2 linked regions of the Danio rerio genome follow. The protein of the gene in region 1 purifies or fractionates together with the protein of each later gene. This does not show direct contact. Links are inferred from orthologs where the notes say so. Each region holds a gene or a part of one and is shown on either strand. Other genes may lie near its edges.

What was found.
Region 2: the proteins of txnl1 (region 1) and ube3a purify together in Homo sapiens (affinity purification with mass spectrometry; 3 studies listed by BioGRID and IntAct, with this or other methods). This does not show direct contact. The link is inferred for Danio rerio from reciprocal best matches to the Homo sapiens genes TXNL1 and UBE3A.

The regions. Positions count from the first base shown.
Region 1 is NC_133196.1:1,369,181-1,373,008, forward strand, and holds part of txnl1 (thioredoxin-like protein 1), read left to right. Parts: intron 1-939; coding exon 940-1,113; intron 1,114-2,092; coding exon 2,093-2,215; intron 2,216-3,673; coding exon 3,674-3,743; intron 3,744-3,828. UniProt on the Homo sapiens protein: Active thioredoxin with a redox potential of about -250 mV.
Region 2 is NC_133181.1:41,328,871-41,332,698, reverse strand, and holds part of ube3a (ubiquitin-protein ligase E3A), read right to left. Parts: intron 1,968-3,828; coding exon 721-1,967; intron 638-720; coding exon 493-637; intron 1-492. UniProt on the Homo sapiens protein: E3 ubiquitin-protein ligase which accepts ubiquitin from an E2 ubiquitin-conjugating enzyme in the form of a thioester and transfers it to its substrates.

The sequences.
Region 1 (3,828 bases):
ACTATTGGTTTGTCTGTCTGTTCAGTTTCTACATCACCTGATAAAAGTCTTGTGGTGGATCTCAGTTGTAAGAGCAACAAATAATAACTCGACTTCTAGTTGATCATTTAAAGTGTCAGAAGGTGGATTTCTCTGCTGGATCATCTGTTGATCTGCATCAATCATCACCAATACTGCAGAAGACCTGCTGGAACCAGCATGGAGTAATATTCTCACAAAAATCAGTCAAGTTTGGTGAAGGAGAAATCATGGTTTGGGGTTCATTCAGTATGGGGGCGTGCGAGAGATCTGCAACATCAACAGCCTGAGGTATCAAGACATCTGTGCTGCCCATTACATTACAAACCACAGGAGAGGGACAATTCTCCAGCAGGAGCAAGCTGCTCCAGGATTGGCCAGCCCAGTCACCAGACATGAACATTATTGATCTGATGAAGGAGAAGGGGTTGAAGATGAGCACAAAGACTCTTGTTGAGCTCTGGGAGTCCTGCTGAACGCTTTCTTCTTCATTCCAGATGACTTTATTAATCAGTGATGTGAGTCATGTCAGAGATGTATGGATGCAGTCCTCCAAGCTCATGATGGAGTCAGACACAATATTCATTCTGTCTCCACTGCAGCAGGACTTTATATTCTATACTGGACATTATTTTTGTTCAGTGATGACACTTTAGTCTGAGCAGAGTCAGAGCTTACTGTCCTCATCAAATCAGTCAACATCAAGACATGATCAGATTTTAAGTTATTACTTAAGTTAATACTTACTAAGACTTTTGTCAGGTAGTGTATGTCAGCAAAAAAAAAAAAAAAAATATATATATATATATATATATATATATATAAAAGTATAAAAACTATAAAAGTATCTCAGTGATGCTAGAATAACACTGGTAGTGTTAACTAAATGTATGTCTGTGTGGCTTTTTTCTCGTCTCCTAGGCAACAGCTGCCGCCAATAATATCTCAGCAACACCGACGTTCCTGTTTTTCCGAAATAAAGTGCGTGTGGACCAGTATCAGGGCGCAGACGCTTCCGGACTAGAGGAGAAAATCAAACAGCACGTGGAGAACGATCCAGGCAGCAACGAAGACTCCGATATTCCTAAAGGATACGTGAGTTTCAGCCAACCAATCCTGCACATTTAATGAAACTCCCTGAAATTCATGAGTGTAACCCTGTAGTGTGCCGTTGGGTCGTTTTCATCCACTCTGGGCTGTTTTTTAATATTAATTTGGTCACAATTTCCTCTGTGTTTCAGCAAATGGATTATTTGTTTTTGCGGAAAAACCTTATTTTAAAACATATTTTGAAAAAACAATACACTCTGCACATCTTCCACCCTTTGGTTATGTTTGGGGCTGTTTTTACCCCATCAACTTTTATTATGATCACATTTATTGATTGCAAAGCCATGACAGCATATAATCATGCATTCATTTGTACTGTTGATCATCAGTTGCGGTGCAAAAAAAGCATAGTTTCTGTCTTTTATATGTTTTATAGTGTGTATATAGTGTGTATGAGAGAGTAAGAGAGCTCTTCAAAGGTTTTAGAAAATAAAAATATATATAAATATCTAAAAAATAAATAAATAATCTCTCATAAGTGTCTTTAATCCATATAATATACAGTACTGTGCAAAAGGCCACCAGTATTTCCAAAAAAAATGAAGGGGTAAAGGGGATTATTTCTATATTTTTCTGTAGGATGTCAGTTTGAAATATAGATTTACTCTTCCAAACATTATTTTGTCATTATATGTAATTCTACAGTTTAGGGTTGTCACAATACTGGAATTCGGTACCAATTAATACTGAAATTAAACATTTGAGCGCTGTTGATCATGTCCTTAAACACTGCTGATTGGCCATTGTGTTCATGTGCTCAACAGAAATGACTGTGATTGGCCGTGAAGGTCATCAGTTTACTGAACTCACCACGGTTTACTGAGTGTAACCACAGATACCGGCACACTGGAGCGTTTTAAAGCTGCGATTCATCAGCGGATCGCTCATATGTCAGATTCTAGACAAACCAGCTGATCAACGTGACTATGTGTGTGATGTTGTGTTGATGTTGTGTGTTTCTCAGATGGATCTGATGCCGTTCGTGAATAAAGCAGGTTGTGAGTGTCTGAATGAGAGCGACGACTGTGGATTCGACAGCTGCTTAATCAAAGACTCCACTTACCTGGAGTCAGACTGTGATGAACAGGTGAAACTAAACTCTGCTGACTCTGTGACTTTAACACTTCAACTTATTTTTGTCATTTGAAACCCACATATCTATAGGGTATATATTTACTGCTGGTGTTTTCCCCTACCGATAAACTTCCAGTGAAAGATTAATGCGACTATTTTCAGTTTCATAAGGTTCTTTTTAAAGCATCAGTGTTGTAATGTAATTTAATAATAATCAGTTGAATAGACTTCAGCATTCATTTAGCTGTTCAAGAGTAAAACGAGATGAAAGATCGTGTGAACACAAGCGCCGTCAGGATCAGCAGGCAAGCACAGAAACTCCATTGAATATACTGTGGTAAAGTAAACATCCATATTTTAAAGACACGGCACTGATCAGTGTAATGTAATGCAGTGCTCCTTGTACATTCTGAAAGCAACTTTATATCCTATGTCAGTCCGGAAAATCAGGTCTTAAATGTGGTGATCGTTTTTTTAAGAGCATACAGTTCACCAGAAGCGCTTGAGCTGGGTTACTGAACATTAAAGTCCTTCTGCATATACACTATTACAGGGGTCTCAAACTCAATTTACCTGGGGGGCGCAGGAGGCAAAGTCTGGGTGAGGCTGGGCCGCATAAGGGATTTCACAAAAAAAAAGTCCTCAAATGTCATTATTAACAGTTTTAATTATTTCTTCTGAACATGAAGTGTCCTGAACATTAACAGAACATTGAGTGAAGATTATGAACAGTTCTTCTGAACATGGCATCTTTTGCCTACTTCTTGCTGCCAGAGACTTGACAGCGCTTCTTCTCACAAATCTGAACCACATTTGGCTTTAGAGCGGACGCAGTTGAGACCCTCAGTATGGATTGAAGATGATCATCATTAAGTCTAGACCTGTACTTTGACTTATTGAAGTCCTAGGGAAAAAAGTGGGGGAACTCACTCAAAACTTCCATTCCCTCACCTAAAAAAAGGCGTATATATGTATAAATAAAACACCCCCACCCCACTCCAGTCACATCAGTCTGTACCAGTCTGTATCTACCTATAATATATATAAGATGCAGGCTGTAGCTCGGTAGGTGGCAGGCTGCAGTTAGGTAGCTAAGTGGCAGGCAGGGGCGGGAACAGCTTGGTTCTGGCCGGCGCGAGTTCCCTCCTAACACTTCCCGCCCGTCACAGCGTCTAACAAAGGGGCGGGGTGCGTGGTGACGTCACCGACATCCCCGCCCCTTTGTTTACACGGCGGGCGGGGAATGCCAGTGACCGCTGTGTACGGATAGAATCTGATTCTGTCAGTGTACAGCGGTCGGCGTGGGCCACAAAATATTGCACTGAGGGCCGCAAATGGCCTGCGGGCCGCGAGTTTGAGACCCCTGTTTTAAACAGAAAGTAAAACCGTAATGTGTGTTTATTTAAGATCAGATCTCATGTGCTGTATAAACTGGATCTGCAGTGTTGATGAATCTGTGTTTTACTTTCAGCTTCTGATCACAATGGCCTTCAATCAACCTGTCAAACTCTTCTCCATGAAACTGCTGTCTGCTGATTTTGGTAAGACGTGTTTCTGTCAGCCGATCAGTCTTGTATTTCCAGTCTGTGGTCATATATTCCGTTCCAGCTGTAAATCGACTAATTA
Region 2 (3,828 bases), on another chromosome or scaffold:
GAGCGTTGTTTGCACTATTTTCAGTTTTAGGCATCATTGTGCAGTTATTCATTTGGTATGTTTAGTAACAACTCGACCTCGTCATCTGTCCACAAAAATACCTCTCTTGCTTTCTTTGCCATCGCGTTTAATGTTCAACCGGCGTTTGTTAACCAAATAACCAAATGCCAAGTGAGACGCATGCTTTCTGTTTACACCAGAATGCGCATGCCCTGAGTGTGCGAATGGTCACGTGATATACGATTTTGGTGGCGTAGTGTGGACGGAGATATGTTCGGAGACACAAGGTGATACGCTAGTGTGGACACGGATCGTTTTCGATCTAAAACGCACTAGTGTAAACGGGGCGTAGTTATGCAATCAAAAGTGAGCAGATGTTTTTAGTCAGTTTTAATTATTTGATAAGTGAATCTAAAATGTACATTAGGTTGCATGAAAGAACCCCAAAAGCTCTACTGAAAAACCCAAATAGGAAAAACAAATGATTATTACCTATATCTGGGTTGAAGATCTCCTCTACAACCAGTTGAAAGAATTCTTTGGATACTCCTCCCTCATCTACACCTTGCTCACCCTCAAACTCCACATACAGTTGTTTCTTCAGGTCTGCTGGGTTTTCCATGGCAATCATCTCCAACTACAACCAATTACATGTTTATTTTATATAAATTATTCACTTCTTTGAAACCGCATTCATCATCTGAGCTTTTTGGCACTTACCCTGACAAGAGCATCGTCTATGATGTGGTCTCTGCGCACTTTGAGACGCAGATAAGGGTTTAGTTGCTGTCCTTGCACCAAACTATAGAGGGCAGTAATCCTGCGCTCGCTATACATGCGGATCCGGTTGTCATAGTACAGGCCCAGATTCTTAGTCACAGCGTTAAGTATGAAAGGGCAGGTCATAAAGGAGAACTTGCTCTCTGTCTCCACCTTGAAGAAGGTATAGTCTTTGTCCATTTCCAGCACCTCATTGAGTGGTTCATTGATGAACTCCTCGAATGGGATGAGGGGTTTTCGACAGTCCGAGGCACGGATGCCCATTTCTGTCTCTAGCGGATCCACTCGAGGGCCTTTTTTATTGCGTCTCTCCTCTCCCAGCAGCTCCTGCAGCGTCAGCTCGCTGGACTCAGGGATCGGTTCATCGTCGTCCTCCTCATTGTGATCCGTGTCTAGGTCGCCGCCCAGCACGTTTGCATAGTAGACGATTTTCAAGCACTTGGTGGCTGCCACCACACCATCATCCTCATTGACTAGGTTATCACTGCTGAACTCGTTGCTGATGACCGTGTAGGTAATAAGCTGCTGGAAAGTCTCGACCAAACGTCGGATCTGGTCCACACCGTACTGCGACCACAACCGTGCAAGCTTGGCCAGAGCCGGAAGAGGTAGCTTGCTCATGGCCTTGCAGAACTGTGGCAAGGCGATTTCTAAGTATTCGGGACTGTGGAGGTTACTGTTCTCCATCACAATGATGAAGACGTTCAGGTAATTAGGGTCAGCGGCGTACACATTGTGATAGGTGAGGTCACACTCTACGTTGGGCGACAAGTAGACTAACGCGTTGAGGAAAGCTGCCTCAATCTTCTCATTCGATAATAATCTGTCGTACACTCTTCTTACAGCATCAATGTCTACAGAAACTTCTACAGGACTCAACTTTTGGACGTTGTTCTCCCCATGAGATGACCCGTCTCCACTTGATGCTGAAGCTTCTGGTTCCACCTCCATTGCTGTGGATGAACCAGAAGCCGTTTCTTTCTCATCTTCATCTTTGTCTTCATCCTTGGCCTGAAGGGACTTGAGCTCTTCCTTGGTGTGTTGTTTTGCTTTGCGGAAACTCTGGACTAGACTCTCTGCACTTGAGAAAACCCGACCAATAACACGGATTAGAGGAGAATAGTCCTCTGTCTCACTGCAGATGCTCAGGATTTCATACACCTTATCCTCAGTCAAGAAATTCAGATCTGCCAAATAAAAAAAAAACATAGTAAAACACTTGAAAGTCAAAGACACAGTTAAAAGACCAATGCAGTCAAACAGAATCCATCCTGCTATAAAGAATGTAAGTATTTTAAGTATTAAGTGTGTGCTTAAGAAATAATGTTGAGCATCTTTGTCCATCTATTAAAAATATACTTGAAATATTACTTACAATTGTAAAGCAATTTTTTCTCTTTAGCAAATTTAATAAAGTTAGGCCCAGAACTGGCCTGGTAAAAGGTTGCACAAACAAAGACATTGGATATCAATTTCAAAATTAATCAGACTGACTGTTGAATCATTTTAGCTGTTTTTATTTGTCATTTTTTCCATTTACAATACCATTATTTACAATATCATGTTATTCTATTCACATTTTATAGCAGACGTTTAGCACATTTTGTCACAAATATGACATTCTGCACTGATTTGGGTCAGAGCTGGGGAAAAACCAAGGACAAGCATAGACAGGCTACAGACTACCATCTCTCAAAGCAAGGTTGCCCAAACTTGATCCTAAAGAGCCACTGTTTAGCTGCTACTCTAATAAACACACCTAACCAGCTAATCATGGTCTTCAGACTAACTAGAAACTTCCAGTGCAGAAACTACTGTGTTGGAGCTAGGGCTGCACGATTAATCGAAAAAGGATTGTGATCTCGATTCTACCTTACACACGATCTTAATTAAGCATCACAAGGATTCAGCCAATTATATTTTGAAGGTCAGGAGAGAAGCGTAAAGACAGGAGCACAAGTCTTCACATTGTTTTAGATACATTGCTCAGGAACATGAACACCTTCAGATGTGAACCTCCATGGTCTCATGGTTCAGTAATAATTATCATGCCATCGATTCAGTTAAATTCGATATCATGCCATCAGTTCAGTTCAATCGCATCGACTATGTTTTCCATAAACAATTTAAATTTTCTGCACAGCACAGCAATTCTTGTATTAAAATGTACAAATATGTTTATAATTATATCATATTTGTAGTACAATTTTGTCCTTTAATACAAACAGTCAGATTTATAAACTGTACCTTTAAAAACTCAAGTATGCACAGAACGTCATGAGCATTTATAGCAAATAAACAAATATAAATATCCTGCTCGCTTTCTGAGCTCGCTAGGAGTTCTTTCTTGCACCCCTATGACTGGTCACGCACTTAATAGAAAGGGCTGCGATTGGCTCTAATGGTCTGGCGCTGTTCACAGATGAATAACACTGATAAACGGCAGCAGCGATCACAACTGATCTATGATAGATGCAGTGAAGAAAACTCACTCTGCACAAAAGCTTATGTTTGTATCCAGAAGTATCGCTGTTACAGCCAAGAGGAAAGGGAACTACCTCATGACAGCAGGTTAAAGGTCCACAGCGAGAGAAAGAGAATGTGTTTCCCTTCAGTTTCTCCATAACAGTGAAACGGGTCTCTGCTGTAAGTGTCAGTGAAAGACTGTCCAGTAAACACGCATGCAGAGAATTGTGCACAGTTTCTTTGTTTTTAAGTAGTTGGAGCGTTTTAAATACTCGCACTTGCCTCCCTCACCATAGTAAGCTACCGCTACATAGCAGGGTCTCAAAGCATATGAGATAAATGACGTCAGTACACAATAACTGGTTATGATTACTACAGAACCAATACCAAATTGAATGCATCTGCATCGTGGTGCACCGAAGAAACAATTAATTTTGACACCCCTACTTGTAGTTGACTTTTTAGCAAGTCGCTCCTCATATAGCAGCCTGTGGTGCTTTTTTAGGTTCTGGTTTTTGTATTTCATCGTTCTGTAACATCTCTTACAAATTACCTGGTTTTGTTTGGTGTCTGTGACTTTGA